2 linked regions of the Saccharomyces cerevisiae S288C genome follow. Changing the gene in region 1 together with any one later gene gives a genetic interaction. Each region holds a gene or a part of one and is shown in the gene's direction. Other genes may lie near its edges.

The links. Genes that interact genetically often act in the same process or in processes that back each other up.
Region 2: mutations in TPP1 (region 1) and APN2 impair growth when combined (synthetic growth defect), as found in Saccharomyces cerevisiae (3 studies listed by BioGRID).

The regions. Positions count from the first base shown.
Region 1 is NC_001145.3:568,507-572,865, reverse strand, and holds TPP1 (polynucleotide 3'-phosphatase), read left to right. Parts: upstream 1-1,849; coding exon 1,850-2,566; downstream 2,567-4,359. Other genes in the region: mitochondrial 37S ribosomal protein uS8m MRPS8, read right to left, coding at 151-618; AIM36 (Aim36p), read left to right, coding at 822-1,589; YMR155W (uncharacterized protein), read right to left, coding at 2,672-4,315. UniProt on the Saccharomyces cerevisiae protein: Dephosphorylate DNA's 3'-phosphate termini. Has a role in the repair of breaks in single-stranded DNA.
Region 2 is NC_001134.8:182,353-189,962, forward strand, and holds APN2 (DNA-(apurinic or apyrimidinic site) lyase APN2), read left to right. Parts: upstream 1-2,000; coding exon 2,001-3,563; downstream 3,564-7,610. Other genes in the region: RFT1 (glycolipid translocation protein), read left to right, coding at 49-1,773; POP8 (ribonuclease P), read right to left, coding at 3,646-4,000, 4,076-4,122; PEP1 (type I sorting receptor), read right to left, coding at 4,492-7,610. UniProt on the Saccharomyces cerevisiae protein: DNA repair enzyme that cleaves apurinic/apyrimidinic (AP) sites and removes 3'-blocking groups present at single strand breaks of damaged DNA.

The DNA.
Region 1 (4,359 bases):
TTTTATCACTGCTAGTAAAGGTAATGAATGAAGGACGTTACTGTAGTACTATACTCATCATCATTGTCTGCATTTTATAATATTATTATTTACATGGTCCGTATATTTTTTAATTACACGTATAAATACGGTCATATGTGATTGTTCTATTCATTTTACTCTGCATAGTACTTCTCCATCCAACTTTTTGGATATGGCTTCATTAATGTCCATAATGTTGTTATGAGCTCGAACTAGAATCAGTTCTCCTGGTTGTAGTGGTTTGATGTTTCTAATAGTTACGCCAGAGCATAGTTTCTTCATGTCTTCCATTGGCAGGTGTATTCTTGAATTTGGTTTGGAAATTAATTTGCAGCTGCTGAGGACAGGTTTGTTATCTCTATACTTCAATCCAACCCAAAGCCTTCTAGTAGAGATATTGTCTGGTGTTACTTCAACAAAATCTTTGTCTGGTCCCATAGTCGATCCCTTCTGTAAAGACGATAAGAACCCTTGTTGGTAAAGGTTATACGCAAACTGTAGCTGCAATTTCGTATATGGGATCGATGTTAAGGCAACTCTAACTTTCGAGCAGTTCTGTAAATGAGCACACGTATTCGCAAGTTTGACCAACGACATTTTGGGCGATTAGTTTAGATCGAAAAAAAGGTGTATGTGGTCGCTTCTTTGCCTTTGGCTTTCTTCTGTTTTTCCGTTCTTCTTCCTCAGTTTGTCGATTTAATTTCAAAAAGCGGTTTGTAAGGACTGCCGGTAAAGCTAAAATGAATGAATCCCCATAGGAAGATTAATACATAACGAGCCCAGATAAATAGACTACCTACATGTTGCGACCACTGAGAAAAAGCGTTCTAGCAAGCTGCCGACATTGTTTCAAGGTGTGCGGTGGGTTGCCTCAAAAGCAATTACCCTTATTTTCACCATTGCTCTTGAGAGCACGATACTCATCAACTGATAGCTCAACTAAAAGGTCTAACAAATCAGATAAAATAGATGCTCCAGGATTTAAGAAAATTTTCCTTGTTGCTATTATCGGTACAGTGATATTTGTCAAGACAGTACAGTCTTTAGATAAGAACAAACCGAAGACAACATTATCAGAAGAAGAATTCGAAAATGTGGTTAAAGGGTTGAAAAGACGTGTGGCTATCTTCCCACAAGGTGAGGTCGATATAAAGTTTTCCTTATCACCCAGCATTGAAGAAACTAGAAAGGTACTGCAGAAATCACAAGGCGATGATATAAATGAGCTGCAGTTTGTCGATCCAGTCAAGGTCATCGATTACTACAGAACCTTGAGGGATGATAGATATGAGGCTTTATTAAATGAATACTACAAAAAATACGGGTGTGACACGTACGCTTACAATTTGCCGACCGGTATGTTGGTCATGCTTTTGGGTAGATATTTCAAAGAGAACTTCAAGACCGGTGACAAGCTAGTAGTTGTGAACTTTCCTCATTCGATTGCTGATGCAACAAGATTTGAAAATGAGGTTTCTATAGTGTCTAAAATCTTTGTTCCGAGGAAATTGAGTGGCTCTGACGTCTGTAAATATTACGAAACTGTAGGTAAAGCTGATATCATCTGAGGATGTTTTCTTTTTTTTTTTTTTTTGGTTTCTTCTCCTTGTTAATAGCTTATATGTATATATATCTGGATATATGTCCTGAATATGCTGCTTATCTGTCATATAACATTCTCATTTTCTGTTCCCTTCATCTATGTGAATGAATTCTGTGCGTTTCTTTCGTTTCCCCTCTTTTGCGTATGGCTTTAAATCGATTTTAATCTGTAAAATCATCCCAAAATCAGATGGATAACATAGAAAACTGAACCGAAGGAAAGCCCATGTCCCACAAATTAACAATCCTGCCATTTCTGATTAAGTTCACGCCCAAGTTTCCACAATCCATTGATCACGACGAGCATGGTCTAAACGTTTATGCCTTTGATCTGGACCATACAATTATCAAACCAAAGTCCCCCAATATAAGTTTTAGTAGAAGCGCAAGTGATTGGCAGTTTATTAATTTTAACTCCAAGAAATCCACCCTGGATTACCTGTGTAATATCATTGATAATGATCCCACGGCCGTCATAGTCATATTTTCTAACCAAGGTGGTGTCATCACCGTCCCAAGAACTTCTAAAAGTTGCACCAAGTACACTAATAAAATTTTGCTATTTTTAAAGGCAATCAAAAACGATGAGAGAGGAGAAACGTTATCACACAGGTTATGGCTATATGCAGCACCTAAAAGGCCGAAAACTTTTGCAGCAAATCATAGTAAGATCACATTCGCAAGCTTAGGTGAAAGTTATAACAATGATCCTAACATATTCGAAAAAGTTCGAAAACCAATGACAGGAATGGTAGAGTTTTTTAAAAGGGACCTGGAAAGTGCATACAGGGTTTCAGAACAAATTTCTCCCATCAAGTTGAATTGGATATATTATTGCGGTGACGCTGCTGGGAGGAAAAAGGACTTCAGTGATTCTGACATAAAGTTTGCTGAAAACTTGCACGTTGAATTCAAGTACCCTGAGGAAATATTTCACGGGTAGTCCGTTGTAAAATGTTGAATATATACCAGTATATAGTAATATTTCTTAAAATGTTCATTTGTGATGGTGAAAAAGAATATGAAAGCAATGTCAGGATGACACCGTCTACAGGGAATTTGCAGTTGCTCTTCTTCGATAGTACGTATATCCAATTATCCCCAAAACGAACAAAAGATTAAAAGCGGCACAATATTTCGTAACCATAAAAGTATAGCTGTAGCAAAGCACTCCCTTTTTACAGTTCCCATCATCATCTCCTGTATTTGCCTTGAAATCTCTACCTAATATATCGGTAAAAACACTCACTGAAAATACACCACCAGTCGTTAAAACACCCCACAGCGTACTATACCCATTTGTGCCAAATCTATCTGCTACTATGGAGGGGAAAGTACCAAATAGAACGCCAAAAGAATAACCGAAGATCGCTGAGCATACCGAAATATTCTTGAATGATTTGGAGGCTCTTAAAGAAGGATCTTCAATGCTGCTGAAGTCATGGGATATTTTATTCGATGCAAGAAATACCAAAAGCGATGCTATGACAATATTCCATAGTCTTTGAGCTTTGAATTTCTTGACCAAAAAATCTGATATAGGCCCAGATGATAATCTGCCGCAAAATGAAAGAAGAGACAGGAGAGTTACTTGTAATGATTGAATTTTTTCTGCATTAATTGGTAATTGATTTAAGGGTGGAGTAGAAACCTGGGCTTGTACCATAAACCCCACAGAATATATGTACATTAAACCCACGCCTTGTAGTATACCCAATACTATGTAGTAACCAATAAATGTTGAAGATTTTAAGCTTTGGAATACATGTAATCTCATACTTTTCTGTGCGCTATTCTCGCCCACTGTATTTTTGCTGGTATTCTCATCCTCGAAATCATACTTTGTGTGTGGGGAAGAAGGTGATAACAATGGTCGATTTGATAACTGTCTATCCTCAAGTGCAAAAAATTCTGACGTTTCCTGAAAATTGTCTGACAATGCATAAGTTTCATAGGTAGCAGGGGATGATGAACGCACAGGTGAACCTATATAGTCATTACTGTTCTCATATAACGGTACTATATTATCGTCTGTTTCCCTGCTTTTTTGAAGCTCCCATTCCTTAATGCTAGCATCATCTCCTTCTGCATTAGAGAATATATCTAATGAGAAATAGCCTACTAAAATCATGCAACCACACGCAACCATCAAGAAAATGAAGACATGCTCGATGTTCTCACCAAAAAGCTTTGAGCAAAGATATGAGAACACCATGCCCGATAAACCGTATAGGGACACAGGAAATGCCCCAGCTGTACCCCTGTGTTGAGGAAAATTTGTATTTGCACATTTCACAGAAGCGTAAAAACCTGAGACAGAACCATATCCAATGAGTACCAAACTTAACGATATGAGAAAAGTACTAGACCATTCGTGCTTATAGCATAAATTCAAAATCAAATACGCGATGAAAACACACATTGAACCAATTAGACAGGACAGTTTAGGACTTCGATCGACAACTATTCCTGCTAAAATTCCCATCAGTGAGCTTCCTATTGTTAAAGAGAAGGATAGCTTACTTGAGGCAGAAACAGGTATGTGGCACTTGCTCAGTAGCTGAGGAGCATAAAATGAGAAAAGATAAGGTGTTCCAGCACCAAGGGCAACCACGTTACCTCCCACAAAACTTTTGAGATGTCCAAAGTGATTTGTATTACCCATTTTACTATTTTGGTGTTTCTTTACCATGGCACTCTGTGAAACATTGGTTGCTGTTTATCGAGTATCTTTGA
Region 2 (7,610 bases), on another chromosome or scaffold:
GGGTGATTTGAAGTTGATTCTGCTTTTGTCAGTGAAGGAAAAGAAAAAATGGCGAAAAAAAACTCACAATTGCCCTCTACTAGTGAGCAGATCTTGGAAAGGTCCACAACAGGAGCTACCTTCCTCATGATGGGCCAACTTTTCACCAAACTGGTAACGTTCATACTAAATAATTTGTTGATCAGGTTTCTGTCGCCCAGAATTTTCGGTATCACGGCCTTTCTAGAATTTATACAGGGCACAGTGTTATTTTTTAGCAGAGATGCGATTCGTCTGTCGACGTTGAGAATCTCAGACTCCGGTAATGGAATAATCGATGATGACGACGAGGAGGAGTACCAGGAAACTCATTACAAGTCTAAAGTTTTGCAAACCGCAGTCAATTTTGCTTACATTCCGTTTTGGATCGGGTTTCCACTGTCCATTGGTCTTATCGCCTGGCAGTACAGAAACATCAACGCGTATTTCATCACTCTTCCATTCTTCAGGTGGTCGATTTTTCTTATCTGGCTGAGTATCATCGTGGAGCTGTTAAGCGAGCCATTCTTCATCGTCAACCAGTTTATGTTGAACTATGCCGCAAGGTCAAGATTTGAAAGCATCGCGGTGACTACAGGATGTATTGTCAATTTTATAGTTGTTTATGCCGTTCAGCAATCCCGCTACCCAATGGGGGTTGTCACATCGGACATTGACAAAGAAGGCATCGCCATATTGGCATTTGCCTTGGGAAAGTTAGCACATTCGATCACCCTGCTAGCATGTTACTACTGGGACTATCTCAAGAATTTCAAACCAAAGAAATTGTTCAGTACCAGGCTAACGAAGATAAAAACGCGTGAAAATAACGAATTGAAGAAAGGCTACCCAAAGAGCACATCTTATTTTTTCCAAAACGACATTTTACAGCACTTCAAAAAAGTTTATTTTCAACTATGTTTTAAGCATTTGTTGACAGAGGGTGATAAGTTGATTATCAATTCTTTATGTACTGTGGAAGAACAAGGCATTTACGCTCTATTGTCGAACTATGGATCGCTACTAACAAGATTATTATTTGCGCCGATCGAAGAATCTCTGCGGTTATTTTTGGCCCGTTTATTATCCTCGCATAACCCTAAAAATTTAAAACTATCTATTGAAGTCCTGGTGAATTTAACAAGGTTTTACATATACTTATCGTTAATGATCATTGTATTTGGGCCTGCCAATTCATCCTTTTTATTGCAGTTCTTGATTGGCTCGAAATGGTCCACTACTTCCGTTTTGGACACTATAAGAGTCTACTGCTTTTACATCCCATTTTTATCGCTTAATGGTATTTTTGAAGCTTTTTTCCAGAGTGTAGCCACTGGTGACCAAATTTTGAAACATTCATATTTTATGATGGCCTTTTCTGGTATTTTCCTGCTCAATTCCTGGCTTCTTATTGAAAAACTCAAACTATCAATCGAAGGCTTGATATTGAGTAACATCATTAACATGGTGTTGAGAATATTGTATTGTGGAGTTTTCTTGAATAAATTTCATAGGGAACTGTTTACAGATTCCTCTTTTTTCTTCAATTTTAAGGATTTCAAAACAGTTATTATTGCTGGCTCAACGATCTGTCTACTTGACTGGTGGTTTATTGGGTACGTTAAAAATTTACAACAATTTGTTGTTAACGTATTATTCGCAATGGGATTGTTAGCGTTAATTTTGGTCAAGGAGCGCCAAACCATACAATCTTTTATTAACAAGAGGGCGGTTTCCAATTCTAAAGATGTATAAACAAAAATTCTTATATAACTTAGGCGACACATAATATGCGCTTAAATAACATATAGTGAGTATATTATCAAAAAGCATTCATTTTTTTTTATTTATTAGTCCTTCAGAAAGTTAGTTTGTATGTACTATATGATGTGAAAGTGCTGAAAAATTACCCAATAAAAGATAGGCAACCAAGAGAGAAGCTATTTCACCGTAAAGAAAATCCCTTTCCTTGTCAGGACACTATGTCATCAAGCGAAAACACGTTACTGGATGGAAAGTCAGAGAACACAATACGATTTTTAACTTTCAATGTCAATGGTATAAGAACCTTTTTTCATTATCAACCATTTTCTCAAATGAATCAATCCCTTAGATCTGTTTTCGACTTTTTTCGAGCAGACATAATAACATTCCAAGAGCTCAAGACGGAAAAATTGTCTATCTCTAAGTGGGGGAGAGTTGATGGTTTTTATTCTTTTATTTCTATCCCTCAAACCAGAAAGGGATATTCTGGCGTTGGCTGCTGGATTAGAATTCCGGAAAAGAACCACCCACTATACCATGCATTACAAGTCGTTAAGGCAGAAGAAGGTATAACGGGTTACTTGACAATAAAAAATGGTAAGCATTCAGCAATCTCCTATAGAAACGACGTAAATCAAGGAATTGGTGGTTACGATTCTTTAGATCCCGATTTAGATGAGAAAAGTGCACTGGAACTAGATTCAGAAGGCAGATGTGTTATGGTTGAACTGGCATGTGGAATAGTTATTATCAGTGTATATTGTCCCGCAAATTCGAACTCATCGGAGGAGGGTGAGATGTTTAGATTAAGGTTCTTGAAAGTTTTATTAAGAAGAGTTCGGAATTTGGACAAAATTGGGAAGAAGATTGTGCTAATGGGCGACGTAAATGTTTGCCGGGATCTTATAGACAGTGCCGATACATTAGAACAATTCTCAATTCCAATAACAGATCCCATGGGTGGAACAAAGTTAGAAGCACAATATAGGGATAAAGCAATCCAATTTATTATCAATCCGGACACGCCACATCGGAGGATATTTAATCAAATATTGGCTGATTCACTTTTACCAGACGCGAGTAAAAGGGGGATACTGATAGACACTACGAGGCTAATTCAAACAAGAAATCGACTTAAAATGTATACAGTCTGGAATATGTTAAAAAATTTAAGACCTTCGAATTATGGCTCACGGATAGATTTTATCCTAGTGTCCTTAAAGCTTGAACGATGCATAAAAGCAGCTGACATTCTTCCGGATATATTGGGCTCTGACCATTGTCCTGTGTATTCTGATTTAGATATACTGGACGACAGAATTGAACCTGGTACGACACAAGTTCCCATACCAAAATTCGAAGCAAGGTACAAATATAATTTAAGAAACCATAATGTTTTAGAGATGTTTGCCAAAAAGGATACGAATAAAGAATCTAATAAACAAAAATATTGTGTATCAAAAGTCATGAATACCAAAAAAAACAGCAACATCAAAAACAAATCGCTCGACTCATTTTTCCAGAAGGTAAATGGAGAAAAAGATGACAGGATTAAAGAATCCTCTGAAATTCCACAGCAAGCTAAAAAAAGAATCTCCACGCCAAAGTTGAATTTCAAGGATGTCTTTGGAAAGCCTCCCCTGTGCAGGCATGGGGAGGAATCCATGCTGAAAACATCGAAAACTTCGGCCAATCCAGGTAGAAAGTTCTGGATTTGCAAGAGATCTCGGGGTGATTCAAATAATACAGAATCATCTTGTGGGTTTTTTCAGTGGGTTTAAATATGAAAACGTCAGCTGATATTTTGGGAGAATAAAACACTTTCTTCTATGCCCAAGTTTTTTTAAATAATAAACTGATATTCTATATACATTTACAGTCTTGTTCTTCTTCTTCCATTACTTTTTTCAGCCATAGGCGGTCATCGTCAGTAACCTCCAGAAGTCTCAAACTGGAAGATTCTTGTAGAATTGACACTGTTAATGGTGAACCGACGAGTTCATCAGTAGATATGTATGTACTGATGGACGAAGAAAATGTATCTTTATCCGCATGATTTACTCTGATGTAAGCCAGCTTATCGTCAACATGCAGGAATGAATATTCTACACCTTCACCAAAAATACCATAACTACGTTTCAATGCGTTATTTAACCATTGCCTCCATGTCATTTGATCAATAGCATGTGCATCGTCCACATCTTGATCGAATGAAGTACTATAAATATTAAAGTACGTTAGTAGTTTATTTCTCTTCGGTAGTTGAGACTCAAAAAGTCAAAAATATACATACATTGATAACTTGAAATATTGCCATTCTCTAAAAGTCTTTTTCCCCATCACAACTGGCCATTTATCAAACTATTTATCTGCCTTTTCTTATTCTGATTATCCTATAAAGCTGAACAGTAAAGCTTGTAAAATTACGCGATGACTTATGTATTGAAGTTATGACGTTCTCGATGATCTTCAGTCAAACAACCACTTTCCCGTAACATATGATATATCCCACCCGCTTCCTTGTACGCATTATTACGGTTCTGCTTTGAAGATGGAGATTCAGTACTTGCAGTTATTTGAATTGCACCAGTACTGATCATGCCAAGTTTCTTTGGCTTGTGAAAGAACTTGATATTCTGTCTAAAGGATCTGCTCGTTTTTGTTTATGAAAAGTATATGGAATTATCTACTCTATGTAAAGTAATCTCTCTACTGGTTTTCGTTAGATGGCGCTGTAGAATCAGGCCTGTCGATGTTTTCCTCATTTCCTTCTGGTAATGTATCTGGAACATCGGTGGTCGTAGGTTGATCTGTATATGATGTATGCTCTTCTTCAAGTGTTGGAACATCATCTTCTTCGATTTCAAAATTACTACCCTGATCCATGAAACTGGATAAGTCATTGGCGTCTTCATCGTGGCCAGCAAGCAGGTCATCTGCTTCATCCAAAAATTGATCATGGATCAGGGATGAGTAGCTTGGACCTGTTCTGTTTCCAAACCTTCCTCTAATTTTGGAGATAGCATGCGCTATATTAGTTTTTGTGTGCTGTAAAAGAGACCCGATATTTGAGAAAACGTAAAATCCTGATTTCACAATGTTATTGACAACTCTGTCAGTATTATTGTTTTCTATTAAACCATCGTCACCTAGCCTAATTTCTCCAAACCTTGCAAATCCCCCATTTCTTCTGATACCTCTGTCATATACAAACCATGCGGCAAAGAAAATTATTAAAAGAATTGAAATGAAAATAAATGCAAAGGGACCGGCACTTACTGAGTACTTTTCCTTGAATTCTTTTTCTTTTCCTGGGCAAGCATGTGGTGATGAGGGAGCATCCAATTTCAGGCCACCCTCACAGGTTGATAGAGGGATCTTTCTGTAGCCTGACGATTCAAAATATTCGATTAAATCTGGCTCTTTTTTACAAACGTCTGCAGCATTTGCTGGGCTTAGTCCTTTGACTAATTTACAAGTACCATCGTTAGCTTTGTAAAAGTTGTAATCACACTCGAAATCTTGTCTTGTACAAGAACAGTTTTTGATATTTCTTGAAAATTCAGAAAGTGGAATATTCCCAATAAAACAATTTTCATCGGTTTTACGTAAAAACTCGGTTTGGTGACCAAATAGGCAATTGCTTTTGGAACCCAGAGGAGAGTATTTATAATCTGCGCTTTCCTTACCAGTGATGTCGAAATCACATTGTCTTTCGAAGATGTTTCTAAAATCAATTGTGTACGTTCTAAATGAGCTGCCTCCAATATCTGCTGCCTCTCCAAACAGCAAAAATCTCAAAGCAGAATCCCTGGGAACAGTGGTTATATCCTTTACTAAAACCTTATCAGCGCAGAATTTATAATCTTTCCATGTTTTACCAAAATCGGTAGAATAGGAAATAGAATCAGTTTCTGAGTTTTCAGGAACTAAAACTAAAATCCCACCGTGGTCACCGTATTCCCATTGGTGAGGAGTCTTCTTAACTTCAGCCCACGTTTCGCCACCATCGGTGGTGAAGAAGGTGGAACATTCTTTATATGGTAAAAGGTTAGGACCAACGTTGCCAACGCCGAACATCATTCCTAATGCAGAACCGGAAGAATATGTATCTCTAATATCCTTACGTTCAGTATAGCCATGTAAGTGCAATGAACACTCATCCAGTGATTTGGAGCTGCAAGAAAACTTTTTTCCTTCTGAATCCCTCTTCGGAGGTTTCAAAAAGTTCCAATCTGAACCTTCATTAAAGGTGATCTTCGTCTTCAATTGTTTGTCTTCTTTATTCTCGGCGACCTTGTCACTATTTGAAACGATGTTGGTGAGAATAATGCCTTCGAGACCTTGAATTTTTTCAAAGTCAACATAGCCGAATGTGTTTCTATTAACGGCATGCTCCAACGTGACAAAAGAAGTACCATTTGAGTTGGATTTCAAAAGATTGCCAAAATCGCGTCCTGGTACTAAGTTTGTTGCTAAATGTAAGAATATCGATCCTTTCTCAGACTCTAATATAGTGAATGCCTCTTGCTTCCCAACATCTTCATCATATGGGAATTTTGCCTCGGCAAACTCAGTACCATCGATAGTTACGTATGCTCTCAATTCGTTGTTCTCATGAGGAACAGCAACGATGATATAGCCACCAGTGGATAAGTAGCCGATAATATTTTCAAAGACGGTATTTTTATCATCCTGGAAAAAATCAGTAGAAGAAACTAAGCTTCTTGTCTGCGAAGACTTTTCCTTCACTTGACACATAACCATATCCTCATTTGACGGATATTTGAAAAGTGAGCCCGCAAACTCACAATGAATTGCATTATCAAGCATTTCCGTAAACGTTTCGCCCCCATCATTGGTCAGGTATGCTACCGCATGACATTCCGGACTTAAGATTGACTCACAATTCTTACCACCATAATAGATAAATGTATCCTGTGCCTTAGCGTTAAAGTCTAATGGCATACCTAACTGCCTAGCCTCGGGCAATTTAGCAGTCATAAAAGAGTATCCCCTATCATGGGTAGAGAAAATGCTACCTTTGGAACCAAACAGATAAGCTGAAGAATTGTAGTATGGATTAAACACAACTTCAATAATTGTTTCACCATTACTGTCGAACCTTTTTATTGTTTGTCCACCATCATGAGATATATAAGCTTCTCCTCTTGAATTGATCATGAGGAGGGATTCGTCGGTGACTGTGTCAAAGTATTGATAGAATTGAATCTTGAAATCAAATTTGTTTTCTGTAACCACTATTTCTTTATCATTCGTTCCCTTCTTTGGAACTCCCTCACACGAAATATCCACTGATTTGACTGTCATTGGTTTTTTACATTTATCACCTTTAACTAGTTGCAATGGTTTTACAGGCACAGTTTTTTTCTTTGTCTTATCACATACGTCAGAGAGAACGATTAGGTTGTAGTCTGGTACGCATTTCCCGGTCGCGTCCCTAACAAATTCAAACGCGCATTCGTAATCAGCCTCGGTACACTTGTCACAAGCAGTCTCAAATAATTGTAAGTCTTCAAAAACTTTCTTCACCAAGCACTGAGCGTCCTGTTTTCTTCTTCTGATCTTGTACTTGACTCCATTGACACACTTCCCCTCAGCTAAATTCCAATCCTCGAAATCATTTTCTTCGCATGTCTTATCATTAAAGGCTGTTGAAAAATCAATTGCATAGATGAAATTCGTTGTACCATCCATATGCGCCAAAGTAAACCCATTTAGAATAAATTTAGCTCCAGATCCGTCGGGCGTTGTATTCATTACTTCATTTGGGTAGATAGTAGTTTCTAGCTGATATTCGGTCCAAG